Linked DNA regions of Mytilus edulis. The protein of the gene in region 3 binds, or shares a complex with, the protein of the main gene of each other region. Links are inferred from orthologs where the notes say so. Each region holds a gene or a part of one and is shown on either strand. Other genes may lie near its edges.

Region 1 (7,915 bases), on a different chromosome or scaffold from region 3:
AACATGAACTAGAGGCTCTAAAGAGCCTGTGTCGCTCACCTTGGTCTATGTGAATATTAAACAAAGGAAGAAGATGGATTCATGACAAAATTGTGTTTTGGTGATGATAATGTGTTTGTACATCTTACTTTACTGAACATTCTTGCTGCTTACAATTATCTCTATCTATAATGAACTAAATTGACTATAAAGGACAATAACTCCTTAGGGGGTCAATTGACCATTTCAGTCATGTTGACTTATTTGTAAATCTTACTTTGCTGTACATTATTGCTGTTTAAAGTTTATCTCTATCTATAATAATATTCAAGATAATAACCCAAAACAGTAAAATTTCCTTAAAATTACCAATTTAGGGGCAGCAACCCAACAACGGGTTGTCTGATTCATCCGAAATTTCAGGGCAGATAGATTTTGACCTGATAAACAATTCAACCCAATGTCAGATTTGCTCTAAATGCTTTGGTTTTTGAGTTATAAGCCAAAAACTGCATTTTACCCCTATGTTTTATTTTTAGCTATGGCAGCCATCTTGGTTGGATGGCCAGGTCACCGGACACATTTTTTAAACTAGATACCCCAAAGATGATTGTGGCCAAGTTTGGATTAATTTGGCCCAGTAGTTTCAGAGAAGAAAATTTTTGTAAAAGATTACTAAGATTTACGGAAAAATGGTTAAAAATTTATTATAAAAGGCAATAACTCCTAAAGGGGTCAACTGACCATTTCGGTCAAGTTCACTTATTTGTAAATCTTACTTTGCTGAACATTATTGCTGTTTACAGTTAATCTCTATCTATAATAATATTCAAGATAACCAAAAACAGTAAAATTTTCTTAAAATTACCAATTTAGGGGCAGCAACCCAACAATGGGTTGTTGGATTCATCTGAAAATTTGAAGGCAGATAGATCTTGACCTGATTAACAATTTTACCCATTGTCAGATTTGCTCTAAATGCTTTGGTTTTTGAGTTATAAGCCAAAAACTGCATTTTACCCCTATGTTCTATTTTTAGTCATGGCGGCCATCTTGGTTGGTTGGCCGGGTCACGCCACACATTTTTTTAAACATGTTACCCCTATGATGATTGTGGCCAAGTTTAGTTTAATTTGGCCCAGTAGTTTCAGAGAAGAAGATTTTTGTAAAAGATTACTAAGATTTACGAAAAAATGGTTAAAAATTGACTATAAAGGGCAATAACTCCTAAAGGGGTCAACTGACCATTTTGGTCATGCTGACTTATTTGTAAATCTTACTTTGCTGAACATTATTGCTGTTTACAGTTTATCTCTATCTATAATAATATTCAAGATAATAACCAAAAACAGCAAAATTTCCTTAAAATTACCAATTCAGGGGCAGCAACCCAACAACAGGTTGTCCAATTCATCTGAAAATTTCAGGACAGATAGATCTTGACCTGATAAACACTTTTACCGCATGTCAGATTTGCTCTAAATGCTTTGGTTTTTGAGTTATAAGCCAAAAACTGCATTTTACCCCTATGTTCTATTTTTAGCCATGGCGGCCATCTTGGTTGGTTTGCCGGGTCACGCCACCCATTTTTAAAACTAGATATCCCAAAGATGATTATGGACAAGTTTGGATTAATTTGACCCAGTAGTTTCAGAGGAGAAGATTTTTGTAAAAGATTACTAAGATTTACGAAAAATGGTTTAAAATTGACTATAAAGGTCAATAACTCCTAAAGGGGTCAACTAACCATTTTGGTCATGTTGACTTATTTGTAAATCTTATTTTGCTGAACATTATTGCTGTTTACAGTTTATCTCTATCTATAATAATATTCAAGATAATAGCCAAAAACAGCAAAAATTCCCAAAAATTACCAGTTCAGGGGCAGCAACCCAATAACGGGTTGTCGCATTCATTTGAAAATTTGAGGGCAGATGGATCTTGACCTGATAAACAATTTTATCCCATGTTAGATTTGCTCTAAATGCTTTGGTTTTTGAGTTATAAGCCAAAAACTGCATTTTACCCCTATGTTCTATTTTTAGCCATGGCGGCCATCTTGGTTGGTTGGCCGGGTCACGCCACACATTTTTTAAACTAGATACCCCAATGATGATTGTAACCAAGTTTGGTTTAATTTGGCCCAGTAGTTTTAGAGGAGAAGATTTTTGTAAAAGTTAACGACGACGGACGACGACGACGACGACGGACGACAAGTGATGGGAAAAGCTCACTTGGCCCTTCGGGCCAGGTGAGCTAAAAATGTGACTTCGGATCGGCACAGCACATAGTCATCAATAAACCTTATCGCTAATCCCGGCTGACCCGGCCGCTTGAACTTTTGACGCATACAACAATCACTTTTCCATTGTGGCGTCAGCTATTTTGTTTTATGACGTCAAAATTTTATGGGAACCTGTGTGATATCCAGTAATGGCAGACAAATGGGGATAAGGTGTATATAATTTATGATGGAGTGCGGAAACTGAAAATAGAAGACACTCGGCAGTAAGGGAAATCAGAAAATAATTTTACATAGATGGAAGCCAAATTTCTTGACACCTACCAACATCTGCTAGAACTTTTTGTAGTGGTGCTCGATTGTAGTCATCATAGTTTTCATCATATCCTTCGTGAGTGTATTCTTGTTCATCTTCATGTGGTTTGTTGTCTTTTCGACTGTGTTTATGTCGCTTTCGTTCTCTCGATCGAGATCTGTGACGGTGTTTTCTTTTGTGTTCACGGTCCTTTTCTTTGTGTTTTTTAGACGACCCCATGACGGAATATACACTTGAGATCTACAGCATTAATGGGTAAAAACAGATATTTATTTACGATTTCTGTTCGTTGAATTACCGGAAGTTAAAAAAAACTACAGTAAAGTGTATAAAATAATGTTTTATAATGGGTTATGCCAAACTCAAAAGCGTCTTCTATAAAACAAATAAAAAACATAATTCCATAAATGGTTAGTATATCTAAGAATATATATTCAAAACTACAAATTGCAAAATATATTAAACATAAACGAACACTTTAATGTTCTATGAATGGTAAAGCTAATAACCCGGTCTACAGACAGACCATTTTGTGAGATGTGGAAAATCCATACAAACTAAAAGTAAAGTTGCTGTCTGACAAAAATAATGCATGCAATATGAATTCTCTTATTAAGAATATGAGAGGAACAAATAGCAATGATCAGAAAGAGCATTCAACTTTATCCCTTTTGACTCTACATGCTCTTCTCAAAAACCTATAGAAGGTTACAAATAAAAAGGTAAATTTGACAACTGGACTTTCATTTTTATACAGTACTTAATGAGGATAGGAATACCCATTACCGTCAGCCATCAAACGTTGTGATTTGTCAAAATATCTGTATCATGGTTCTTTAGAGGTCTTAAATGATAATCATTAATGTTATTTTTGGAAAAAAATAACGTGATTCTTAAAAATTTGTCATTTTTTAATTGTCATGCACCAAAAATTAATGTTGACATCATTTGACAAGTTTTTTTACTGTTATAAGTCACGAAGGTACCCGATTACAACTCTTCGTAATAGACAATGATGAAAGAATTTAGTCATCAGATGAAAAGATAAATAAAACAAGCTAATAATTATGGCTCATTCATTCAGTAAGTTTATCTGATTAAATCTGTTTTTCAGATATGAGGGGGGGTAGGAGGGGTCCTGATCCCAAAATCCTGGGTTTAAAAACACGAAATCCCGAAATTCCGGGCTTAAAAATATGAAATGCCGAGGTCCCGAAATTCGAAAAAATAATTCCTGGATCCCGAAAGGGTCAATCCCGAAATCCCGAGCTTAAAAACACCCGATCCTGGAGTCCTGATAAAGGTCCTATCCCCCCTCAGATATTATAAGCAATAGTAAGACTTTTATTAGTGTATGGTGTTCATACTACTCGTCTATATGATCATTACCTCATTTACATCGAGCATTGATAATGCAAAGTTGATATGAAAGTTTATGTTAAAATCTTAATTTTAATTTTATTAAATTGCAGTCATCTCTAACACTGACCCATATGACCGCACTTTTAAATATCAGTCTGCCAGTCATCATAAAAATCACCATAAAGTATATTAATGATTGTTTTTTTATTGAGAACATCTGTAATATTTATATTTCTTTTTATAATAGGTATCCTAATTTTTGTTTTTTGTTCATGAACATTAAAATGTGTTTTAAAACTGTCTGAAAACACACATATTTATAGGTTTTTACCCTGTGAATATACCACTGTCACTCTAATATAATTATAGTCAATTTATCTATTGTCAATTTATTGTTTCAATACTGTATGCCATAACCATGATAACCATTTAATGTAAATGTGTTAGTGCTAATAAATATTGTCTATTGTCTATTGTGATACGGTGTAAACCTTTATCTTTAAGACTTCAACATACTGTGGATTAATAATTATTTGTGGGATACCAATTTTCGAGGATTTTGTGAGTACAGGCAAACCATGAAATTAAATGTTCAATGGATGATAAAATTTTATGTAGGCTTGTATGGCATGTATGCAGACTTCATCAAAACCACAAAATTAAATATGCAAGCTTTCCTTAATCTAGAAAAATAGGTACCCTCGAAAATATATGAATTCAGAGTATATATTTTGTTTATTGTGCCCAACATTTTCAGTTTACAGACAAATTTATTTTTATTCTGATGACAGATGCAGTACAACAGTAAACTAGATTTTTTTTCATTTACAAATCATTTACACATTGCTTCATTTGTTATCATTTGTTGAAAGTTATGGTTATCAAATAAATTGTCTTTGATCTTGTTTTTTATGAACAATGTGCTGTTATTTTAAAAATTTCTTAATTTATGACAATCTGATTGAAATACAGAGTATGTATAAAAGAAGATGTTGTATGATTGCTAATGAGAAAACTTTCCACAAGAGACCTGGTGCCCAAATGTTACAGAAATTAACAACTTTAGATCACTGTAAGGCCTTCAACAATGAGAAAAGGCCATACCGCACAATCAACTATAAAAGGCTCTGTACACATAAGAATTTCTAAGACACAAATTTGTTTATTAAGAAAAAATGTACTCAAATACCAGAAATGACTACCGGTAAGCTATTGTGACATGTGAAGATACAAATGTATAAATACATGTAACATGTGAACATCTACTTCCATTTTTTCATTCTGATAGATTTGGTATGTAATGGATTTCAATGAAACCTATCAGGACACATGTTCTTCAGTAGGAATAGCAGCTCGTAATGGTGACCTTGGTCTGGTACAACAGTTAGTTTGGCATGGTATGTTTTTTTTAACAGCAATACTTCAAGTACTAATTATTGAAAAATCTTAAGGTATTTTTCTTCTGATCCGAGTTGCTGTTGACTTACTAATTAACCGTTGGTATGTTGTCTCCTAGAATTTTCAGTTTTGTATGAAGATGTCTCATTGAATAAATAATCTTACATCTCCAATTATTCATACCTAGAAAATTTAATAATAAAGAGTTGTGGTATGATTGTCTATTAACAAAAGCTGCCACAAAAATTGTTTGACAAGATATACACATGATTTAAAATGCCTTCACATTTAGAGGTTATGATTCTGTTTTCAAAAATGAATAGAGATACCTGAAGAAAAGCCATAAAACGACTTGTTAACGTCTTGTTAACTAAATGTTACATTACAGCAGCAAATAAATACCAGATCACATTTATTTACAAAAGCAAACCCCAAACTAAAACTTCATTGATCAAATGTATGGATTTGTTATTAAAGGCCTCAATGAAAATTACTCAATTTTTAAGTTCATATTCCTTAAATAATATATGTACTGTAGAAGTTACAGTACATATATTATTTAAGGAATATGAACTTAAAAATTGAGTAATTTTCATTGAGGTTACAGTACATATATTATTTAAGGAATATGAACTTAAAAATTGAGTAATTTTCATTGAGGCCTTTAATAACAAATCCATACATTTGTAGACATTCAAGAACAAAATAGAATATTTAAAATTATATACAATGATTTATTCCCAATTTTACTCAATTTTTTTTTTAAATTTAGCCACCTAGAAAAAGTCTACTTGTGATAACTCACATACTTATTATAAGTTGTGATTTTAAGGTATTTTATATATGAAATGATGTTTCAGGTCGTCTAGTAGATGTACGAGACAACAGAGGATGGACACCAATACATGAGGCTGCTGCTAATGGACACACTGGCTGCTTGGATTTTTTACTGAGGCTAGGTAGTTATCTATTACTTTGTACAGTTAGGAAAAAATAAACTATAAGGAAGGGAATGCATGTTTACTTTTTTATTTGAATTTACATTATAAAGATGGTTGGCTGATTAAATATACTTTTGTTGTACAATTCATCTGCTAATTAATAATGAAATCATTTATGACAGTGACCTTAATTTTTTTTACTGCATTCACTTTAAAAATGGAATACAACCCTCACTGAGAAGTCTATATAACATGAATTTTGACCTGTTGATAAATTGAATGTTGTGGACATATGCTCTTGCAATTAATATATTCAGTATTCAAAATGTTTAAACTAATTACCTTGTATCTACTAATAAACAAGGTATTAGGGTATACAATATATATTTAAGAAAAAGGATATTTCTTTCAGATGTTGATGTTGAGTGGAAAACATTTGAAGAGGAGACTTCATTGTTATTGGCAGCCAGAGGTGGCCATTTTGCATGTTGCAGAGCTCTTATTGGATATTCTGCAAACGTAAACACAACAACCAAGGAAAACTTTGCTCCACTGTGGGAAGGTAACTAAGCATGTTATGGGCAAACTCTTTATAGATGCCAGGATTAAAATTTTGTACACCAGACACATATTCCATTTTCAATAGAGTCATCAGTGACGCTCAAATTAAAAAAAATAATCAAAAAGGCCAAATAAAGTACAAGTGTTGAAAATCATTGATGACTCAAAATTCTGAAAGGTTTTACCTAATAAAGCTAAGGTAACTTTGGGGTGAGCTAGCAGGGTAATACCTGTAAAAAGGAAGTAGTCACTCCTTTTTGTATTGAAAGGGCAAGGTATGTTGGTACTCAATTTTTTTTTATACTGTCTTTAGTAAAGGAATTACATCAACTTGTTCATGTCTTTCCTTCCGTCTGTGTGTCTATACGTTAGTTGCTCTATCCCACAAAATTTGGTAGTGTTTTGCACAGAACCTTCAAATTATAGTTTTCCTGGAATTTGATGGGACCATGCTATACTGTATGTGGCATTTTCAAGAGCATCACTTGTCAACTTTCTGTGTGCGGAATAATTTAACTGTTTGCTGGACACTTAAATTTCACAAAGACTACAAATCAAGCTTCATTTGAGCATGCTACACTGTTGTGCTTTCAAATCTATGCTTATCAAAAAAATAAAATTCATTGAAAATACTTATAGTGGGGGTACCTTTTTATGAACACTTGCTCACATTTCAACTTGAAAACACTGTATATTCAGAGTTAAATGAATGCGTTTATGAGTGTAAAGACACCAGCATTCATCAATACTTTATAATTTTAGCTGTAAATGTGGATAACATGGATTGTGTAAAACTACTCCTGAGGAATGGAGCACACATAAACCATCAGATCTACACAGGTTACACTGCTCTACACACTGCTGCAGAGAAAGGTCATGCAACTATCCTGGCCTATTTAGTAGGACATGGTGCCAGACTTGACATTTGTGCTGACGAGGAACTAACACCTGTTTTCTTGGCCTCACAGTTTGGTCACAAAGATTGTCTTAGGATTCTTCTAAAAGTTGCTAAAGATAAAGGTATTAAAATAGAAGAATTGAAATATACAAATTCTCTTATAATTAAGTATAACACAGCTCTTTAAATATTTATGTCATCACTATCTACATTTTCTG
Region 2 (8,218 bases), on a different chromosome or scaffold from region 3:
GAACATATTAATTTTGACCCTGCTTTGTATTAACCCGACAGGCTGCACCGGATAAATATAAATGTGAAATGAGATTTTTGATGAATTATTTATACATGTAGTATAGAAAACTATAGTTATGACGTTTCATGCATGTTATATGAGAAAACGGTCGAAACTCATTGTTCCTATTTACATTCCTCTGTTGGACTGAAAACTACAGATTCCGGAAGTGTACGCTTACATGCTGCTACTCTTGGTCTATTTGTACCCCTCTCCCCACCCCCCCCCGAAAATATACCATGAACTCTACATACCGCATCGCGACGATACGCTGCCAAAAAAAAGTATTTGTCACCGACTTCGTTTTCGAGAAAATGGTCCGAGAGGGTACTAAATCATATTGAATATGCTATGAATTTCCATCGTTCTTAGTGGTGATTATGCATGATGATTATGTGTTTTGTATTGATATGTTCTTTTAATCATAAGGGTCTGGATAGAGGGTCATTCATTTATTAATATTTATTTAGTGTTTCCAATATTTTTTATTCTTTATATTTAAGCTTCATTCTCTAATCTTCTGTTTTTTGTCTTTTATTCTGCAGTATTTGCCCATTATTCTGTATTCCGTAAATTTACCCCAATACAATCAGACCCTTTTTTATGGACACGTATTTTTATTTTAATTATAACAGTTGTAAAAAATATCATATGTTCATTATCATTTCTCCTGCTTTAGTGGAACGTCCCTTCGAGCGGCTCGCTATTTTTTTTAAAATAAGAACTAGCTTTACGACGGACACGAAAACGGCGACGTCATAATACAGAACTTTACGACACTATAGCGGCCCCGATAGCGATGCGTATAAACAATAGTGTGATTTCCCTTTAATAATGTCACTGAATGTCATTTTGCACAAATAAAGAGTGTAAGGCAGATATGAGCACGCTGATGTGCACACTTTGAATGATGCACTGCCAAATTAACAGTTTCATATCAAATTCATATCAAAGTAAAGTTGAAAATGCTTTTTTTTTCTAATCAAATGTCAATCATTGGAATGGCCATCTGATTACCACAATTGCCTTTTAAGTCTTAAGGGATTAAAATCGGAATCAGATATCAAATGTCCGGCTGGCTCAAATATTTTTTGGAAGGCCTGTAAAGGAGCCACTTCCAGTTTAATGGTGTCAAATTTATAGATGTTATCTATATATTTTGGCCTGATTGACTCACTGTACGTTGCTCAATATCCAGTGGCAAATATCTGAATCTTATGTATGTTCAGGACTTTCAACTGAAATTTTCTGGCTCAAACAACAAACTGTATATATCCCCCTTCTTTTTGAAGGTAAATGATTGCTGCCCAACTTGAAAAAAGACCAATCAGGTTACTTAAAATGCTTACCTTTGTCTGTTTGTAAGAGTAGTAATGAATAATTGATTACCCGTACAGACAAATTCCCAAGGGTAATTTTAAAAGCTTTAGAGCACTTAATTACTGACCAAGTGCACCAACTGAAATTATATATACCGGTACAAGAGAAAGGGATAATTGATGTATGTAGAGAAATTGAAGAAAAATTTCTCAAAATATAGAAAATGGATGAAAGTTACATATATACATTCCAAGATTAAAGGAAACACCAACAGGTGATAACAGATATTATCAAACCACTGAAATAGGTAATAATGAAATCACTTATATAAGTGGTACTCCACAATTATTTGGACTACTGTCTATGAGAAGTATGTGTGCTTACAGCAAACAAAACCTGTGTTTCCCATCTGTTGTTAATGTGTGCACTGGGTATTCCCAAGTAAAGGAATGTTGTGACTATTGTATTAAGAGAGTTAATAAAGTTATCATAAGTTATTTCTAGTGTTTAGTATATATATTGAAGGAGTAAATAATGTACATTTTACTTTATGTTATTAGCTGTATCGATAACGTCATATACATGTACAAAAATGTATGGCGCAACTTTGTCATGTATTGTTCAGAACCTAACGGTTGAGTCCATATTATTAAAGCGTGAACCAGAAATGGTACATTTACATTGTATGAGTTCTTAACTGGAAGAATAAATATGTCTAGATTTGTTTATTCATAAGAGTTAATTATTACAAGAATTTTGAGTCGAAGACTCCTATATTTTATGTCAATGTTGGACGTAATGTTTTTCTTCCTGCTTAGAATATTTACTTCCGGTAATTTCAAATAAGTAACAGTGTAATGTCACGTTCGTCATTCCTTGATGTATTTTCATTTCACTTACAGCAAGGCACCCGGGGGTTCCTAAAGGTAAGAAGCAGCGTATTTAGGTGTATGTTTGCCGTTTATCTTATGAATATGGGTCGTAGTTTAGAGGTAAGAAGCAGCGCAGATAGCTGTATGCCTTGCATTTATTTACATTGTCAGTGTAGAATTTAAGATAATCCCATTTGGTCCGTACAAAAATACAAGAGAAAGAATGTTATTTTAGTACCTCCGCCCCATATGTTAATTATATATTGTTTTTCGAATGGATGTATGGAAATATATCTGCTGTACTAGAAGTTTAATACAGGCATCATTTTTACTATTGATTATTTATTCACGCTACCAATGCTGAGAGAGAGAGAGAGAGAGAGTTTTATGAGTTAATTCGTATTTGCTGGCTTTAAAACTATACAAAAACATACATTTTTTGTACCAAGAAGCAGAAATTACAACACCATCTGACAGATGTTTTGTGAATACTAGTTGGTGAGTTAGCAGGTATTTGTTGGGCCGATTATACATGTTAGATATGGGGCGAGTTGTCACAAATTCTATCAATTTCAGTAGTCAACAATCTAAACTCTTATGAAAAGACATTTAGAATAAAGAAATACTGAGAATTAAATGAAATTCGAAATAATTGATTGATTAATTTGAACATTTTTATGTGTAACAGCTTTAGTAAAATTTCGAAAACACATAATTCACAAATTTTCTGGTCGTCCAAACGCACCTGCTCTTGTTCATCAGCCATCTTCGAGTTATTGGTCTGATCTTATAACCCAAAATCTAAGTTCATTTTGTGTTTATTCATTAATAATGTAATTGCGTATAAAGGGTGTATGTTGTGCTAGAATAAAACCACTTAATAATGAAATCATAAATTTATTATGCTGATATAACTTTTTGCATCAAAATCTTTCGAAATTTAACATACATGAGTTTTCGGTACTTAATCGTACCACAGCTTTGTTCTGAACGGGACTTTCCAATTTCGCCTTTGCATATTAAACTATTTTAATAGATTGATCCCTTCAAAAACAGTTGTTTTTTTTTAATTTGCATTATTCCCATTTGTGTCATTAAAATACATTGATTGTATATAAAATAGTTATCAAGCGAAATCTGTAGGGACGAGTTGGCCTTTATACGACTCGATTTATACCGGAAGTTTACTTTGAAGAAGCCGAGGCGGCATGTTTTGATTAACAATAACAACGATTGACATAAATCGTCTGGTATTGATTGTTGTTAGAATACGTCCTTCATAAAACCTATTGAAAACAAATACACCCTTTTTATTTTTATAGTTTTTATTCTGTAACTAAATGACACTTTTGACAGCGACCAACAGTCGAACACTGTGACCAGGTATAAATTTGTGTGAAAAAGCATCATCTTATTCTGTCATATAAAGCCTGATAAGGAGATTAAAGTCTGACCTAGGAACAGTAATCTATTGATATGTTCCTGGTCTGACAAATTAAGATCAATTTGACATACTAGTTATGTCTGACAGTCAGATCAATACACCTTAAATCTGCTATTGCTTTATATTTGTCTGACATTACTGGACATCACAAAATTCTTGTAAAAATATGCCGCTACTATGGTTAAGTGATTTTTGTATGACGTCAAAAGTTCAAGCAGAACAGATTCTCAGGTCAAGGGGGACCGATTTCCAAATAGCGATAAGGTTACTGTGTATACAGTGGGTCTCATTGGGGTCTAAGCGTGACATGGGATTGCCGATTTTTTTGTAAGCGTGACATGTGAAAGTCAAGTAATTGTTTCGTGAAAACGGGAAATGAGGTCTAGCGGGACCCGGGAAATGACAAAAAAATGAGAATTGCTTACGTACATAGTGTAAGCGGGATACAGGAATCTGACAAAACAGTAAGCGGGATCCGGGATTGGAACCCCCCAATGAGACCCCCTATATAGTTTAGATAGATCTAGATAGACAGACAGACTTTCATGAAGTTTACTTATCCTTGTCTCACAGGTTTTTGTTCTATTTAAAGAATGCATTGTTGTGTCATAATTACCATTTACATTTAACTGTTAAACTAATATGGTTCAAATTTTAATATCTTGTTAGTGATGACATAAAGATCAATAGAGCAAACTAAATTGATATAATGTTAATTGTAGGTAGCAGGATGACAAAGATTGGTACAGTTACAGATCCAGTTGTCAATGAGACTTGGAATAAAAGGCAGTCATGGAAACAGGCAAGAAAGAGTTCCTTCTGGTGCTGTGTAAATATCATTTTGGCTATAGTGATGTACATGGAAATGTAAGAACCAATTTTACATGTTTTAAATTAAATATTTGAATCTCTAATAAGACTTTATGATATCAGTTTTAGATTAAATGCGGTGAAGTATTTAATGTCCAGTCAATGACAGTGTCTTAGTTTGCAGCATTATAGAGAAATTAACATGTAATATGAGAAAGGTCATGAACCAATAATGTTAGCTTTGTGATAGCAACTGGAAATGACAATGAGATAAAGATGTAAGAAGATTTGGTATGAGTGCCAATGAGACAACTCTCCATCCAAGTCACAATTTGTAAAAGTAAACCATTGTAAGTAAAAAAAATTGTAGGTCAAAACTTTATGTTAAAATATCAAATAGTTTGACTTATATAAGGGAGAATGTAAATAAATAATTTAAATTTACAATGAACACTTATTTGAAGGCCTTTATGATTTGTTTATTAATTTTTTGAACTTTTTTCTTTACAGGCAGCTGAACAGTATAGGATCTAGTTTAAACATCACACATCCTGTACTATGGTACTTTGGTAAGTTACACTAAAAGAATGAATTGGCAGACACTTATTCATGTTTTTTTTAGAAATGAACAAAAATATCATTTTCAGGTGTATTTGTGAAAAATACCATTCTTGAGAAGAAATGCATACAAATACATACAAAGAGTTAACATGCAAAAAATATGTGTTGAAAAAATGCAGGTATTATAGAATTATAGACAAAAAAGCACATGTAGTGATTGAGAAACAACACTAAATATATATTTTAGAAAAAAAAATGTTTATTGAAGGCATTGCTCACAAATAAGCGTGCTAAGATATATAGTTCAGATTGATGGATATAAGATAAATTTATTAAGATGTAGATTCCCAATAAAGTAAGTTGACTATTGCTTATAAATTGTAGTACCTGAGACGAAGACCGTACAATGCAAATTTAACATTGACAATTGCACCATGACATATGCATGATGACATAAAGGATACTAATAAAAAAAGTAATGAATAAAATCATACTTTATATTGTATTTTTTTCAGAATGTATTCTGGCTGTGATATTTTTATTAAACAGTGTGACCAACTTTTTTGTTTACCTTAAACCATACGTATCTACCAAGTCTGTAATGATGACTCCAGGGCAGAAAAAACTCCTAGCTGTCAGAGATATAGGTAAATGAATGGTTAAGTTGTTTGATATTGATGTGAAGTAGCAGATGAAATTTATTATGAAAAAAAAAATGAAAAGTAAAATATATTACTGAAAAATTAAACAAACCTTGGACCTGTATGGAATAGTACTGAATCTGTTTTAAAATTTTGAAATTAAGAATGACTCAATCATTAAACTGTATTTTAACTAAACTTATATGTTATAAATTTATTCATTCAAGGATGCATAATAAAACTAAACAAAACCTTGTGTTGTTAAACATTGTGGGTCACCAATGCATCTAGATATGTTTCTAAGAACACTGCTTTGTAGATTTATAATAATAATAAAAATAATGATAATGAAAATTTATCAAGGGCCCTATTTAAAAAAAAGAATTACTCTTAAGGCACTGTACATTCTGTGTCAAATTCAAATACTGAAATAAAAAATAAAACAAAAATGCCTACCTTAAGATAAAAGGTCAATACTAAAATAAATATTAAAACAAAAAATTAAAAACTAACAATCAAGGCTAAAAGCATGCAAAACAAGCAAAAACCCTAAAAAGGAATACGGAAAGATTGATTCAAAACAAGTGGATTTACAGTTTTACACTATACTTTATTTATTACAAGACTTACAGCTTGGATTCTATTTTTCAGATGCTGGATTCAGTGTTTCACCAAGGAAATTGAATTTATCATCAGAAGAAAGTTTAATGCTGTCTAGTACACCTTCAGCTCATTCTAGTTTCTCTAGTACAGCAAGTCAGCGACAGACGACACCTACAAATATGTCTGGGCCCATTAGCTTCAGTAATCACTCCATTGTATATTCAACTTACAGTTCACCAGCAGCAAATATTAGTGGGGTATGTTTACCTGTTTGGGGAGAGGAAATATTTTCTTGTTGAATTATTCATTATCCACTACATGTAATTACAAACATAGTTTTAATATAAACATGACAGATAAAAGCTGAAAATATTAAGATATTTTAAATATCTATGTTATTTAAATACTGAAAAGCTCTTACATTTAATTATTAAGTTGTTCTCAATATAATGGGCTAATGATTCTCCAAATCTGTTAATTTAAGGTTCAGAATCTCAGCAGTATTAGTCCTGGTACATCATTTGCTCACAATTCCTCCATGTCTCCTAATGTATCAGGATTTACCCATCATCCATCGTTCTCACCAGGAAGTTCCTTTTCACCTGGAATGCAGAACAGTTTTGATTCCAGTGGACTGCGAGGAAGGAGGTCCATGTCTAATTCATTCAAGGCTTCTCCAGGTAAAATGAAGATGTATATATAACTCTCAATACTTTATATTGATATCGCCAAAAAGGTTTATATTCAATATACTAAACACTTGGTTTTTATAAAGTTAATTTTAACAGAAAGACAAAAATATAATGGCTAAAGGACGAAAGAAAGGAAGAAAGACGAAAAATAGAATGTCTAAAGGAAGAAAAAAGGGATACATGAGATGATATTACCTAAAATACAAAAGAAAGATATTTTTAGAAGTAGTTTTTGTCCAGCCTGCAACTTTTGTTGCAGAAAGCTCGACATAGGGATAGTGATTTGGCGGCGGCTACGGCGGCGGCGGTGTTAGCTCACTTCTTAAAAGCTTTATATTTTAGAAGGTGGATGCTTCATACTTTGTATATAGATGCTTCATGTTACGAAAATTCTCTCTTATTATAAGTAATAGAATAACTATATTTGATATGTGCATACCTTGCAAGGTCCTCATGTCTGTCAGACAGTTTTCACTTGACCTCAACCTCATTTCATGGATCAGTGAACAAGGTTAAGTTTTGGTGGTCAAGTCCATATCTCAGATACTATAAGCAATAGGGCTAGTATATTCGGTGTATGGAAGGACTGTAATATGTACATGTCCAACTGGCAGGTGTCATATGACCTTGACCTCATTTTCATGGTTCAGTGATTATAGTTAAATTTTTGTGTTTTGGTCTGTTTCTCTCATACTATATGCAATAGGTCTACTATATTTGTTGTATGGAATGATTGTAAGGTGTACATGTCTAGCGGGCAGATGTCATGTGACCTTGACCTCATTTTCATGTTTCAGTGGTCAAAGTTAAGATTTTGTGTTTTGGTCTTTTTATCTAATACTATATGCCATAGGTCAACTGTATTTGGTGTATGGAAATATTTTATTATCTTTATGTCAGTCGCACAGGTTTTATTTGACCGTGACCTCATCACAGTTCATTGCACAGTGTTAAGTTTTTGTGTTTTGGTTTATTTTTCTTAAACTATGAGTAATAGGTCAACTATATATGTTGTATAGAAGTATTGTTAGCTGTACATGTCGGCCTGGCATGGTTCATCTAACCTTGACCTCATTTTCAAGGTTCATTGGTCTTTGATTAGTTATCTTGGTTAATGTTAAGTTTATGTGACAGTTGTAATAAAGCTTAGCTTTATACTTAGGACTATCAACATAATATCAATGATTAGTATAGAAGGCGAGACATTTCAGCGTGTGCACTCTTGTTTAAAAG
Region 3 (7,861 bases):
ATATCTTGATCTTTAACTTGTTCAAAAATATAAGGCAATTACAAAATTCAAATACTGTAAATTCTGACATTACTGTGAAGTTTTTTCGTGTCAATTATTCAAATATTGTGACTACTTGAGTTTTCCCAAAAAGAGTGCTCATATTCTGATATCTGAATCATGTATTTGTTAAAAGGTTTTCATAAAATCACAACAATTTAACTCACATCTTTGTTTATTCTTTAATACAAATTATTTTAGACGTAAAATAAAAACAAAATTAATATATAATTATCTTTTGATCGGTACTGTTTATCAATGTTTTAAATTACCTCATGTTTTTTTTATGAAAACAAGCGGTTTGGAAAAATGTAAATGAATATTTTATTTTCAGGTACTTAGTAGTAAACAAAGTATAGGCAGTGGAATATACACATGATACATTCATTTCCCTTGACTTAGGGAGATATAAAGATTTCTTCACCCTTGAAAAGTCATATTTCCCTCGGGCAGGGCCCTCGGAATAAGAATTTTCTTGGGTGAACAAATCTTCATATCTCCCACAGAAATGGGAAATAAATGTAAAATATTTATTACCACAAATTATTTGCTTACAGTCAAATAAGTATGTCAAAGTAGCTTCTACGGTTCTACATGTACCGGCAGATTTTAACAGCAAATTGTTCAGGTCAGATCATATCAAAATGTGGGATATAAATAAATATGTTAAATAGAAACAAGAAGGTAGGCATTTGTGGATGTTTAAAATCATTACAATGTATGCCTAACTTGAACTGAACCTATTTAGCTCCACACTATGAAACAGCTATATATGTGCATACATAAAAATTCATTTGAGGTCAGTTGGTTTCCTATGCTTATCAAATATTTCAATGTAATATATAGTAGCTAACGGCATATATTAAATAATGATTTAAACTGAAACTACATTTGTGGTTTTTGAGAACAAAGAAGTAAATTGTAGCCTGCTGATTGGGTGGATTTTAAGGAGCTTCAGTCATCATATAAAGTTGTATACCTTTTGGCTATCCCTTAGTTTTGCTACAGATCTAACAGAGTCCTTTGTTGAGAAGTCAACTTCTTCAGAGACTTCAGCCACTTCAGAAATATCAGTCATTTCAATATCAGCTTCATCTTCTATTGCCTCCCCTCCTGCCTCTTCGTAATCTGCTAGAAGTTCATCTGCTAGAGACATCTTGTTTAACTGTTTCTCAAAAACTTAGAACTAAAATACAAAAAATATAAATGTGCATGACTGAAATCTATTAGAACATGTACATGTCTAATTTTCAGTATTCCAACTGAACTATACTGATTAACCTTTTTTATGTGGTGATCGAGGTGTAATAAATATATAATGATGTTATATTATGCTCCTTGTGAGCCCATTTGATGGAAATAAAGCATCTTCTTCTTCTATAGTGTGTAAATCCAACATGGCAACCGTTATGATATCCTTGGTCGCCATGTTGGCTGATCATGTACACACTAAATGTATATAAACTTTATAAAGATCTTTATGAACTTACCTGTTTTCTGTAAATCATTTTTAAGTTACATGTATAAAATACTCTTATAATGTAATATTATTTGATAATCAATCATGAATGTTTAAAAGTCACCAATATCATGAATATGTGCTAATACTAAAATTTCAAGTGTTATTTAGTTATTACAAGTGTTATTCAGATAATAATGGTGTTATTCTGTCATTTGTGTTACCCCATGTCTATTATATAAAGTATTGTCACTTGTGTAAATGTTTATTGCATTACTATACATACAATTGAGAATGGAATAGGGAATCATCATAATGTACCAAAGTGACAACAACCCGATCAAAGAGCAGAAAACAGCTGATAAACACCTGACCAATTGGTCTTCAATATCACGAGAAAATCCTCACCTGGAGGCAGATTCAGCTATCCTGCTAAATCATGTATGGTGCAGTCCGGAGTATCCGCATTCATACATGTTCATTCATGAACACATTCATAACATACTTTTATTTCATAAAATCTTTTGTTTGTATGGTTTCATCCTCTAGATTTTGTGTAATGTGTGTCCAAAATTAGGGAAACCCCTGTTCTGAGAGTTCCTTTAATGTCTGGTGATTTCGCGCATGCCTTCAAAAAAATAGCTTATTTGGAATAAAAAAGATTTTATACTACGAAATATAGCTGAGTTTGTACCAAACACACTTCCAAGGATGCAGAGCAAAAATTATTTCAATCTGATATTAATATGACTTAACCCTTTCCTCCATGGATTTTTTTTCTTCACAAACTTGATTCGCATAAGGATTTTTTTCAATAAAAAAAATCATCAGGTTTAAAGTATTTATGCATTGTGAAAACGAATATTTCATCAATGAAATTCAAGTCAGATATTCTCATAAATATTCTTTTCATATTGGATACAAACTGTTTAAAGTCTGATGCAGACATTTTGTAGTCAAAGCATTTCAACTGAGGTACTACACAGACGTCAAAAGGCGTCATTATGGAGTAAAGGGGGTGGCGTCAAAAAGCGTCATAATGGAGGAAAGGGTTAAATATAACAAATTTTATCTGATGATGTAACTTTTTAAATGGAAATTAACCAAATGTGGTAAATCACGGAATTGCAGTTATTATTAATTCTTGAACTTATCAATTTTATTCTTTTTTATCCCTTCGGAAGGCTAAAACAATAACAAGAATGATTTTGTATGTTTTAATGTGTTGATATAAATATAAGACGAAATCAGCTAATGCGCGATATCACGGGAGGCGCGGACACCGGGGACTCCACTGTTAACAAAAATGTATGCTAGTTCAGTGAAAATTGAGCTCATACTCAACTCCAAAACATATAAATGAACTTAAATTGTAAGTTATACAATACTAACAAAGTGCAATCACTCCAACGTCTCCGTATATATTAAAATTTTTATATTTATATTAAGGTATAAATTGTTCAAACAAGGAATAAAACCTTCAAAAAGCTATGTTATGAAAATCTATGGATGGTACCAACGGGATTCGAACCCTCAATCTTGGGATATTAAGGCAACGCTCTAACCAATTGAGCCAAAGAAGAGGATCTTCCCTAACTCAACTAGTTACTAAGTTAGACCACCTTTATAACTAAAGGTCTACAACAGCTAGCACAACAAATAAACTTTCGAGTCAAAACTTAAATATTTACATTATGATTATGCCAAATTGTTGTAATTTTACCAATTATCTGGATTTCAATTCCTCAAAATACGTCTGAAATAAACATAAACAGCCACTACTAAATTTTTACATGGGGGCTGCCATTTTTCGTAATCAAAACGTTTGTGGGATTGCCTTAAAAAGTAATACCTGGTTTAATTTTTGGTGACGGATAATTTCCGGGGGAAAAAGAAAGGCACTGGCTACGGTTACATTGGAGACTAATTGCCGGAATGCAGGTTTGGATAAGGAACCGATTAATTACGAATATAACAATAATATTTCGGTCTACAGTTACCCTGCGTTATTGTTACCGTGATTAAAGACTGTGATGTACCCTAGTTCTAATGTACGATGGGCCTATATATAGTGATAAGTATTAGAATGAAACTTGAAAAGTTGTATTTGATATTTAAATATTGCATGCATACAATATTTCAATTTTTTATTTACAATGACTGTTTCTACAAATCCAGTATGTTGTTGTATTTAGTATGTTTTAGCCTTTAAGTCCGACGCATTTTTTTTGTGAAACCCCTCTAAACAGCCATCACAAATAAGTGATTCGACAATGTGCATGCTCCATGTATTGCATTCCATTCTGCACCTCTTCTTTTTTTAGGTTAAAGAAACTTTCAATGTCTGCTATCCTGCAGGTGATTTTTTTTTACGCTTGAAATTTTTATATTTTCGACCAATTATTTTGTTGGAAGCTTGTCAAAGGTTGTTTAAATACAAGTCAACTGTGAAAGCAACTAATGTTGAAATTCGCCGACAGGTTGAAAATGGTGGAAACAATGTTTTCATTTTCAGACTCCAGATATTTTGTAATCGTAGTTTCGTTCTTTTTGGTGAAAATAAATGCTCTATTAAACAGCTAGTTCATTAAGTATTCATCAATTTAGTGCCATTAAACTATAGTAGTTTCTTTAACAACATCAAAACAATCAATACTTAAAAAGTTTTTGAAAAACAATATAATTATTATTATCTAGTACATAACAATAACGCAATGTAACCGTGGACCCATATATTATTGTTACATTCGTAATTAATCGGTTCCTTACCCAACCCTGCATTCCGGTAATTAGCCTCTAATGTAACAATAATTGTAATATTATTGTTACATTTCCATGTTACCGTAGCCAGTGCCAAAAAAACATTCACTCTGTCGCGATCGATACACGCATGATTATGTAAAAAAATTGTAAGGATTCCGCGGAACCTAGTGTCTCTTGTCTACTTTTGCTGTAGTCTATGATTCAGTGCGACAGGGATTCACTTATTGTGATAATTTCCGGGTACGCGCAGACACTGACTTCAGTGGCGGACCCAGAACTTTTCCTAAGGGGGGGGGGCTGACTGACCTAAGAGGGGGCCCGCTCCAGTCATGCTTCAATGATTCCCTATATAATCAACCAATTTTTTCCCACGAAATGGGGGGGCCTGGATCCGCATATGGACTTTATTAAATGAACAAATAATAAAGAAAAAATGATTTTTACATTAGTTTTCCTCTAGTAACTATCTGTTGATTGTAGGTCTCTTCTGTTCAAGTTTGGCACAAATTTCGGATGGTTTATGAATTTAATAAAAAAAAAAAAAAGGGAATAATTTAACTGCCGACTGTATGTAAAGTTAACTGGAAGAAAAACTAAGTTCATTTACAGTAAAGTAAAATTTGGAGAAAAAAAAGAAAAACAAATTTCTATAAAATTTCCTTCTAGATACTAGCTTTGATCATATCTATTCAACAAGCTTTCTGTCCAAGTTTGGAACAAATCCAGGATAGACCAGGATAGTTTAAGAAAGTTATTTAATATAACCCGTGACAGACAGTGAATGTAAAATTAACTGTCAGAAAAACTAAGTCATTTATAAATAAGAAAAATATGGATAAACAGCATTTTTGTTTTTTACCAAATTTACTTTTGGATATCATCTTGACATAATTTTCTTTAAAGGCTAAGTTATTTTGGACAATGCAAAATCCGTTTAAGTTTTCAATTTTCTAATGCATTGGAATTATATCTATCTTAAGGGCGTCATGGCGTGACAAGTTTTTAAACTTTTCCGGCTATGCACAGTTTTTGTCTGTTTGTTTTACTGAAATGTGATTATATTTTGAGGTGAAAACATAGCCATTAAAGTCAAATTAATGACCCATATTCATGAACCTCAGGCTTCAGAGGCTTTACAGCAAAGATGCACACAAAGAAGAATAAAAAAAAGAACGTCATTAAAAAAATGCTGATTATGCATTTCTGAGACTGGAAATACAATTTCTCATGAAGAATGGAAGCGAAACGTCTATAAAATGTAAGTAAATTGATAATGGAAATGAGGATTGTGCAAAAGAGACAACAACCCGACCAAAGAGTAAAAAGCAGCAGCACATAATCAGTTACAAGAAAAAGCTGTTAACTTGTTAATTTTTAGACAACTTAGTACTTTCAGAAGTTTAAATGATAACAATTTTCTAAAGAAAATAGAAACTACACTAAAAGAGAAAAGTGCATGAGCGCACTTCTATTTGACCAGTACAACAAGTCTTTAAAAAGAAATAAAACATTATTTTCTCTTTCAATCCCTCCCAATCTTAAGTATTTACATACCCCTATGGCACGCGGGAACCACATAAATGAGATAATCACAATTTATCGGGGATAATGATAGATTATCGGTCGACCATTATAGATGTACGGCGTAAAGTATACTTTACGGTTGTAAATGCATTTACGAAATTATCGTCGACAATCTATCATTATCGATCATAAATGCATTAACAGTCGACAATCTATAATAAAGGAACGCGGGAACCATATTATTGGATAATTGCAGTTTAACGGGCGATTCGTAAATGCATTTACGCCCTGTTTTCGATAGCAATTCATATGTACCCAATCACAATAGGTTATCGACAATGCTAATTAATTTTGTCCAATCATATCCATCGATTCAAATGACAACGCGTTTAAGTCAAATTGATCGTCTAGCTAGATCTCAACAACCGGCAAGTAATAGTATTTTAGAATACTGTTTATCTGTAAAAATTGAGACGAAATTATATTACATGCAAGTTTACAGTCATTAATTATTATACTTATAATAATTTTACCGTGACAAAGTTAATAAGTTATAACTGGTACTAATTTCATATACATGGCAAGTCGTTGTAGAATAATTTACTTTCTAATTTCTATATTAATGCATCATTTATCATTTTTAATATAACAAAATATTTTTTTTTATATCAAATATTTTATATTAAAAAATCGTGCATTTTTTTTTTATCATTAACAGAGACACACATATATATAATATATATGTACCGTGACATATATTGTTTTTCCGGATTGAATACCATAGTATTGCCCAGTGCTTCTGTTTAAATAAAGTAATTTGTTTAGTTGTAAAAACAATTACCAAGTGATAATCCATTTAGAACTTCACCTCCAGCTTAATTTCAGGTGATTAATTGGAGGGCAATAAATTGCACAATCGCACACCTGTAAATCCAGTCACAACTCGGGCTACAGAACTAATTATTGGAAAATCGGACACATATAATTTTACTGTGTAATTAAGAAGCAAACCTTAGCAAATAAATGCGGTACAGAAAAGTTTCTTGCAATATCAACTGATCATTACCAGATTTTAATTTTTAAATTAAAAGAAATGCCGAGAAAGTAGCTTTTTTTTTGTTTGGTGTATAAAATAACCATAAATCCACTTATTCATGGTATGGCATCAATATTTCTGACCTGACACTACGTACTTTATATTGCTTAATTCTATAGAATTTAATATGCAATGTTTCGGGTTCTTTCAGGAATATTCCAAGGTAAACCCTCATCAGAGGCCGACAAATACTGTCTAGTGAATATCTAATTGTACATAATTAAATAAAGTTTATCAAGAGAAACAAAAAAGAATCATATAGACGGTGAAACATTTGTAAAAGAAAGTAAGCCTCACAGGCAGACAGCTTAATCTGAAAGAATCAAAATATTTTAATTTGGCAGAACTATAACCAATGAATATCTATAGACAGAATATATTCAGAAACAAATTTTGTACATGTTGCTATTGTTTCTAATAATTCTCGCAATTTGTAAAGGAATTAAATTCAAATAGTTTTTGTTCACCATCTTCTTTGAATATATTAAATCCATTATTTCTCGTTCTTTTGTGCAATTTGATATTATTTTTGTAAGATATTGCTTTATTTTATTGTTTATTATTATGGTCATTGTCAAATATAGCAATATAAAATATTTCCAGGAAGGCAACTCCGCCCATTAAAACGCCAACGATCTGTTGTATTATATTAGCATTACTTCCATAGGTAGCTCATTGACAATCATATTATTTGTAATCAGGTTGCATGGTAACTTCTAAGGTTTGATACGATTGGCGAAGAATTATATATTGTTGATTGCTTAAAACCCAGTGGCAAGTATCTCATGTATGTGTATGATGATGGTATAGTGATGATATAAGGCTGTTTGCTTTTTTAGTAGTATAACTTCTATAGTTCACTGACAATCATATTAGTTTCCATGTCACCTTCAATGGTTTGAAATAGTGATGAAATATTGACTGTTGGTTGCTTAACGTTCAGTGGAACATATTTCATGTATGTTTAGGACGATGAAATA
Region 4 (7,911 bases), on a different chromosome or scaffold from region 3:
TCTGTATTAAAAAAACCAATATTGATTTATAAAACAGCATTTTATTTTGAACTTTCATACTTGTCAATAATTATTTTCAAGATACAAAGTATATCTGGTTTCAAAACCAGACGTGTTGACCTACATCACTACAAAATAGATCTTTTCCATCAACACAGTCGTTAATACAAGTCGGTATAAAATATTATTCACAAATAGTTCCTGAGGTTTCAGAACTCTGAGTCAGGACTTCTGATAGAATTGTTCCTGTGAATTCCATCTCATAAAAACAATGTTACATAGTTATTGCACCAATAAATACAACTGCTTATTCATCTCTGTCTATTCTGAGCTGCCTCTTTTCTTGCTGCATCTTGTAACAATTGTGTATCACATTCATCTGCAGGTAACTGTACATATCTAACTACTGAACCTCTAATAAAACAATTCTTCACTGATAACTGAAAAACAGAGCATGTTACTATTAACAATTCATTTTATACTGACAATTTTCTGTTACATTACTTATATCTTACTTATTGTATATATAATTATTAAAGATATCAAAGTAAACAAGTTACAGTTTTCTATGAATTTCAAGATTCACTCAAAAAGTACCCTTCAATTAAAACTAACAAATCAGACACTTTTCCCCAAAAGTACATATGTCTATTTATATATCAAACGTTTTTTTCTTGTTTTGATTTGGATGTGTAAATTAACTTTAATACATGTACTGCTTATAATCTAATGTTCTCAGTAAATAGTATCATAATTATAAATCATCATCTTAAGTGTATCATTTTTTGAATTATGCTTTTTGTCTCCTCAGTATCTCCAGCCTTGAGCTCTTTTGTGCAACTTTTGGTCTGATTTAGGCAATCATGATTGAACACTTTCTGGGTATTATTCAGACACTTGATCAGCAATATAGATGTAAAGTGTAATTATTTACTAACTGATAAGAAAAGACCTACCATATGTGGATATTTATCTGGATCTGTCACCTGTATGTCTGTTAATTTAATATTCAGGAACTGATCTACTGAATGTAATGTACCACATATGCTACAAAATAAATAACATTTAAAGCAAAACTATACATGAAAAATATTACAAAACATAGTATAGGTATGGACAAATAATTTAATACTAAATGGTGTATAAAATCTCAATTTTGGAATATAGTTCCTGTTCTTCATTAAAGCTAATGCTCATGTGTTTTTATGCAGTTATGTTTAGTTCTATTATTGTTCCTGTACTTCAGACTACTGTCTTAGAAATGCTGTGCTTAACTGGAACAACAAAGTATTTGAAGTTTTGTCAAATACATCAACATGCAGAAAGAGGCTCATCATTACAAGTTCATTATTAAGATCAAGACCAAATATCAAATTTTCCAATAATTCTGAAAAGAAATATGAAACAAAGGCTATGGACAAAGCAAAAGATGAATGCAGTTCACCAACCAGTTTGTACATTTGTAATTAGGGCCTGGGATGTTTATTAACATGATAAAAATAATAAGACAAGTTTCCACCTACATGATTTGTTAGACCAAATCTTGTGAATGTAAGCAACTTTAGTATCTGTCTTTATTATTCTTGGCTTCTTACCTCAAATCATTCTTTAGTTCCACAACAACATCTTTACCAACTAAAGATTTGAAGAAAGAGTAAAACAACTGAAATCAGAAAAAATAAACATGATTAACATGTATAAATTCATTCATATTTTGATTCAATTTAAATTATGGAAATGTGATTTGAATTTGCCAATGAGACAATTTTCTCCAGTTTTAATAAGCTCTGAGTCTGACAGCAAATGAGAAGGATGTAAGCAATAGCACATTACTGTCAGATATTTTGTATTATGAGGTCAAAATTTTAAAGGAACCCTGAGGGATGTCCAGTAATGAAACAAAAGGGATAAGATGTTTAGTCAATACCTCGGGGATTGTCTATTGGAAATCTATGAATAAGAATCCATGACTAATCACCCCACTGGCAAATCACCCCACACCTAATCGCTCCACTTTTTAACTAACTTGTCCCACTTTCTGAAAAATTCGCCCCTCTTTTGTTTACCAACTCGCCTTACTTATGAAAAAGGGCAATTCCCTTTGAAAATATGTTGGATAACTTTGCTCCTTATATGAAAAGGGTAAAATTCCCTCTGAAATAAGGTCTGCCAAATGCAACTCTTTATTCATAAATATATCAGCCATAATATTTCTTTGTATTTGATGTTTCCAAAATTCATAATGACTTGTGAAAAATAGGTAAATCCTGATGAATATAATAATGCAAAGTCATCCCACTTGATGCAAAAGATGTAATCCCGTTGTATATATCTATGTTCCTAACGCACTCATAATTAAAATCAATACCTATGCAAACCTTAGATAAACATGCTTTTCTCATTTGAATGGTTTTACACTTGTCGTTTTGGGGCCTTTAATTGTGACTTGAATGAAGTGCTGTCTCATAGGCACTCATACCCATCTAATTATATATCTATTTTGTAGTTCTTTTCTTTTTGTTGAAATAAAGAAGAAATAAATGAGTATCAGTATTTCCGAGACGTGAATGCCAACTAGCCCCACTTGTGTAAAATAGAAAAGCCCTAGTGAATCGAGTCATGCCCCCTCATACTAGTCGTTTTTAAGTGGGGCGAGGTGGTAGACCAGAAAATTATATATTCATCTAGATTTTACCTTTTTCATTAATAAGTGGGGCGAGTTTCCCTGAAAAAAAATAACGGGATTTAACTGTTTTCACAAGTGGGGCGAGTTGGTAAACTAGTTTGAGGCGAGAATTTTTTTTAAATGGGGCGAGTTGGTGAAAAAGTGGCGCGATTTGTCCTGCTTCCATGAAGAAGATGTTCTTACACGACCTGTGTCAGACTTATAGGTCGTCGGGCTATTGCAGTGTCGAACTAAAAGTTGTGGGGTAGTTGGAATTAATTAGTGAATGCGTGACGCTCATCACCATATAGTCCAAATAATTATGACGTCTTGAAAGGCTATTATAATTTTTTTCTTTGACGCCTTACATCGACGTCGATGTAAGGCGTCAAAGAAAAAAATTATAATAGCCTTTCAAGACGTCATAATTATTTGGACTAATCACCAAAGTGACACCCGAATTTTATAAAGCAGAAAATAGTAAAATAAACAACTTGAGGCCATGGATAGACTTTCAACACAACTCCTCCTATACACTTTATAGTGTCAAATAGAGCTGATGGGCTGGCACAGCTTAGAAATTGAAAGATGAACGTTATTAAATGAAAATCAAAATGTAAAATTTTCATTCATGCTTTTACCCACCATTTTGGATTTTTATCTCGTCATGAAGGAGATTTCACTACAATGAAAAATAAGGACAATCTTTATTCATAAATATATCAGCCATAATATTTCTTTGTATTTGATGTTTCCAAAATTTATAATGACAATCAGAAAATTTTCTTAAAAGAACAGAAAAAGTAGATTTTGCATAGCCGGTCTTTGTTGTCACGTGACTTCAACGAGATCATAATTTGTAAAGTGAAAATAGCACTGTCATACACAGCAGACAACTTGAAAATGACATCTGTACTCAGTCATATAAATCAGGAGGAGTCACATTATGCTCCTAAACAAGCATACTTCAATCCCTATGAACAGAATGGAGGGTATTATATTTTCTCTCATGTAAAATTCACATATATATTAGAAAGTAAATCACTGAAATGATGCACATTCAAGTCATTTTCACATAACTATGTTCTTTGAAACAATCATTTTATTAGCAATGAAACAGCTATCAACCTGAGAACAAGGCGTTGTTGTAAGCAAGCCCCTTGTCTGTCCATTTGCTGATTTTATTTACATGGTTACAAGTTTCAACATAAGAGTAACGTTGTCATGACCAAGTTATACATTGGGAGTACACCATAATGTTACTAGCACCACTCAGACCTGCAATCTACGTATCCTGATTTTGGTGGTATCATCCAGTTGTTCATGCCTCAACCGGAATCCAGATATAGGGATTGTAAACAAGTCAAATCATTATTTAATTATTTTTCGTCAAAGACAATTAGCCTCACCGGACACAATTACGAACGATTTTTGAACTGTGATTAATATTGTTTTTATGTAGACTACTTTTCTTGAATTTTTTATACCATAGAATTTAAGATGTATGAAGGCTTTCCATTTTGCATCATATCCCACATAAATTTTTATGCACGTTGGGTTACTTTAGTAAGATTTGCGTGACCTCGTTTTACGGGTCAAGAGAGCCACATATGGACGCAATTCCGAACAGCACTACATTGATATATCTTGCAGAAGAAATCAATGACAACAGTCTATATTGATAAAGCATACATTAATCTTTATCTCAAACTCATTTTCATAGGAAAATAAAAAGCACAAGTTTGTTTTTTACTTCAATATACTTCAGCAGTGGTTGCAGACGAAATGTCGGTCATGTGTAAAGGAAAGATTTCTGATTTTTTTTTTTTTTGTGTAAGTTCCTCCTTTAAAGGAGCACTAAATTCAAGTTTATCCATTTCGGTGGTGTACTTGTCATTCATCTACGATTTTTTTTATATTGGTCAACATTTCTTTCGGAGTTCTCTGGACTTTTCAATAAAATTAACATATTTTCTTTTGGCCATAAATAGGTTCACAAGACTGAAGAGTCTAAAAAACGTCAATTGTGCGGTTATTTGGGCATGATAAAAGGCATCACGCATATGAACAGAATCAGGAGATATTTTTCTTTCTATATATTAACAAAAGAAGGCAATATGCACTTACCTTTATGTATTTTTTTACATAACTTCCAGGTCAGATTGCCGTTCTTATAATATTTTCAGAATGATTTTGTCATCGTCATCAACATTTACCAAGTGCCCATAAATTGTATTATCATGAAAACAAGGGATTTTTAATAGGGTTTTTATTTATAGAAACATTTATTGATAAATATAAACAAATATGATCTCAGAGGGCAAACATTGGAAATCGTTCGTAATTGTGTCCAGTCGTAATTGCGTCCTGTGGGGCTATCAATTCTGATTTTAAAATTATACTTTAATTTACATAGAAAAAAGATTTTTTCATACATGTATGTATCACATGCAAGAAATTGATTTCAGCAAATTTAATATTAAAATGCAAATAGACAACTTTCGAGTTAGATGCATTTCCATCAAAAACTCTGGTTTTAGTGAACGTCATTTGTGCGTTTAGGGGCGTCGTCACTTCCGTTCCAATGTTGAGCGATTGGTTGGAAAACTATAATTCCTTATTGTACGAATTATTCGGCAAATTGAATTCTCAAAATTGACAATCAGCATTGCTGTCATTAGGGAATTGTCATTAAGTACCTACAGAACAACCATTTTTTCTTGTTTATCCTGCACAATGACTATCACTAAGACGCTTGATGAACGTAAATAGTGCAGGGATACAGGCGACCCCCTCTATCTGATAAATGACGTCATAAAGGCGGGTATAATTGACGAGTTTTTTCCGGTGACGGATGAACTCGAAAGTGGTCTATTGAATTCACGTTAAATTTAATGAGTGCAACTATTATCTGTTGTACATGTTGTATTCAAACACTTTTAAAGGTAATTAAGTTACAGGCCTCGACAATAACGCTTGTCCGATTGTCCGGTACCAGAGCAAAAAAAGGTCGGACAAGTAAAAGCTATATCAAGCTTGTCCGATGGGACAAGTAAAATTATTCTGCAGACAATAAATTTGATGAACGTACATGTAGTAATTATAATCAATAAAACAAGAAGAGAAGAGAAAAATAAAGTTTTAATTTTACATGTTTACTTGCAATCGAATATTTAAAACTGGTTCTTTGTCAGGTACTTTTTAACAGGTAAAAGACATACTATTCTCGTAAACCAGTCTTACTGATTCGAATCAGCGGCGCTTTGCAGATGAGGTAACTTTACAAGACAGTTCATCACTAGCTGAAACGGTTCGGCTCCAACTTTAATAGACAATTTGGCACCGTACAAGACATATTTAATAGTCGTGATTAATAGACAGTTTGGTAACATACCCGGACCAAGACAAATATGAACATCATTTTTCTACCTTATTCTGTTGCTTTAAAATAAATTATACCGGTATTTTTTTCAACAAAAATACTTTTTTACATATATATGAATGAAGAAATTGTGTACCACAAAATTCACTAAATCATATTTGATCCTATGTAGTAAAAAACAATACTTGCAATACGGTGACCTATAGTTGTTAATTTCTTGCAGAGAGTTGTCTCATTGGCAATCATGAGGGTCTGGATGGGGGGGGGGGGGGGGTCTGTTATTCTGTAAACATTTAATTTCGACCCTTTTTTTTTATAATCTTTAAAAAATTAACCCCTTTTTTCTCTAATCTTCAAAAAATGTACCCCTTTTTTCTCTAATCTTCATTTTTTAAGGGCATTATTCTTTAATCATTTAACCCCATCCAAACCCTCAATCATAAGTCATCTTCATTTTTGTATGCCCCACCTACGATAGTAGAGGGCCATTATGTTTTCTGGTATGTACATGATGTACTTTTGTTCGTCCGTCTGTCTGTTCGTCCGTTCATCTGTGCGTCCGTTCGTCTCACTTCAGGTTAAAGTTTTTGGTCAAGGTAGTTTTTGATGAAGTTGAAGTCCAATCAACTTGAAACTTAGTAAAGATGTTCCCTATGATATGATCTTTCAATTTTAATGCCAAATAAGAGTTTTTATCCTAATTTCACGGTCCACTGAACATAGAAAATGAAAGTGCGAGTGGGGCATCCGTGTACTATGGACACATTCTTGTTTATTGATTGCATTTAAATACACTTTTCAAGTTAAAAAAAACATTGACAGGCCTATCAGACGGTTCCTGATCATCTGCCTAGTCTTATAAGACTTTGGCATTTATGAAAACTAGAACCTGTGACAAAACTAGATTCAGTTGTTCCGACTCATATTTTTTAAAAGTATTTCAAAAGATACATAATATGTATGAATCAAACACTGTGGAATCAACTTCTGTTCTATTGTTTTAGTTATTTTGTTCCTTGAATCTACTTATTATGCAAAAAAGGTTATTCTTAATATTTTTTGGGACAAGTTTCAATTTCATTCGGACAAGTAAGTTTTGGTATGTACTTGTCCTATTGGACAAGTTGAAAAAAAAGTTATTGTAGAGGCCTGAGTTAAATAACAATAAAAAGTCGGTGATTTCCTGTCAATTTGATAAACAAAACTAATCCAGAAATGAATCCAGAACTATTGTACATGTACTTTAATTTGATCGCAAAACGTCCGGTTTTAATTTAGTCAAACCGAAACAAACGTAAGCAGTGTCTGGAAATTAACCAGTTTTAGTCATTAAAACCATTTCAATTTTAAACTGTTGCCTTCCCTATACTGTTCTCGAAGGAAATGGTAAGACATTTACTTTGTAAATGCAATGAAACAGCAATACAAGTTTGTCAATTCTATGAATCTAGTCAAGTTGAAAAGGGGCACCAGCTGAAGTCTTTTCAATCATCTCAAAATGACCAAAATTGTATGGAAAAATTTCCAGATCCTTACTTTAAACTACTATTTTCTGCTACGTTATACAGTTAGTGTCAAATTGGTTAAAGTTTAACTATGATTTGTCAAATAACCTGATCCTGATTTGTCAGAACTCTCAAATAATTCTCGTTATTTTTCGGAAAAAAGAATAATGTGATTTGTCAAAATCAGTTCACTTTTATTGTCTAAAGAAATTATTTATTTAATTGACTGAAATGCACCAAAAATTAACGTTCAAGTCATTTGCCAAGAATTTTTACTGTTATTTTTCATGAACAGGATAAAAGTACCCCCAATGAATACAACAGTCTGTAACGTACCCATCTTAAATGAAACATTACCT

The links.
Region 1: U4/U6 small nuclear ribonucleoprotein Prp31-like (region 3) and U4/U6.U5 tri-snRNP-associated protein 1-like share a complex: the UniProt entries of both Homo sapiens proteins name them as parts of the U4/U6-U5 tri-snRNP complex. The link is inferred for Mytilus edulis from reciprocal best matches to the Homo sapiens genes PRPF31 and SART1.
Region 2: U4/U6 small nuclear ribonucleoprotein Prp31-like (region 3) and U6 snRNA-associated Sm-like protein LSm3 share a complex: the UniProt entries of both Homo sapiens proteins name them as parts of the U4/U6-U5 tri-snRNP complex. The link is inferred for Mytilus edulis from reciprocal best matches to the Homo sapiens genes PRPF31 and LSM3.
Region 4: U4/U6 small nuclear ribonucleoprotein Prp31-like (region 3) and U6 snRNA-associated Sm-like protein LSm2 share a complex: the UniProt entries of both Homo sapiens proteins name them as parts of the U4/U6-U5 tri-snRNP complex. The link is inferred for Mytilus edulis from reciprocal best matches to the Homo sapiens genes PRPF31 and LSM2.

The regions. Positions count from the first base shown.
Region 1 is NC_092346.1:24,006,869-24,014,783, forward strand, and holds the start of U4/U6.U5 tri-snRNP-associated protein 1-like, read right to left. Parts: upstream 3,096-7,915; 5' UTR 2,757-3,095; coding exon 2,546-2,756; intron 1-2,545. Other genes in the region: ankyrin repeat and SOCS box protein 3-like, read left to right, coding at 5,200-5,296, 6,158-6,256, 6,651-6,800, 7,562-7,819. UniProt on the Homo sapiens protein: Plays a role in mRNA splicing as a component of the U4/U6-U5 tri-snRNP, one of the building blocks of the spliceosome. May also bind to DNA.
Region 2 is NC_092344.1:14,979,509-14,987,726, forward strand, and holds the start of U6 snRNA-associated Sm-like protein LSm3, read right to left. Parts: upstream 3,086-8,218; 5' UTR 3,001-3,085; coding exon 2,980-3,000; intron 1-2,979. Other genes in the region: transmembrane protein 209-like, read left to right, coding at 4,409-4,545, 4,999-5,057, 5,565-5,696, 6,342-6,550, 6,778-6,973. UniProt on the Homo sapiens protein: Plays a role in pre-mRNA splicing as component of the U4/U6-U5 tri-snRNP complex that is involved in spliceosome assembly, and as component of the precatalytic spliceosome (spliceosome B complex).
Region 3 is NC_092352.1:66,091,803-66,099,663, reverse strand, and holds the start of U4/U6 small nuclear ribonucleoprotein Prp31-like, read right to left. Parts: upstream 3,352-7,861; 5' UTR 3,222-3,351; exon of another isoform or gene 3,190-3,221; intron 1,226-3,189; 5' UTR 1,196-1,225; coding exon 1,019-1,195; intron 1-1,018. UniProt on the Homo sapiens protein: Involved in pre-mRNA splicing as component of the spliceosome. Required for the assembly of the U4/U5/U6 tri-snRNP complex, one of the building blocks of the spliceosome.
Region 4 is NC_092345.1:55,908,563-55,916,473, forward strand, and holds the start of U6 snRNA-associated Sm-like protein LSm2, read right to left. Parts: upstream 3,343-7,911; 5' UTR 3,314-3,342; coding exon 3,311-3,313; intron 1,664-3,310; coding exon 1,596-1,663; intron 1,048-1,595; coding exon 957-1,047; intron 441-956; coding exon 312-440; 3' UTR 1-311. Other genes in the region: proteasome subunit beta type-1-B-like, read left to right, coding at 3,569-3,657. UniProt on the Homo sapiens protein: Plays a role in pre-mRNA splicing as component of the U4/U6-U5 tri-snRNP complex that is involved in spliceosome assembly, and as component of the precatalytic spliceosome (spliceosome B complex).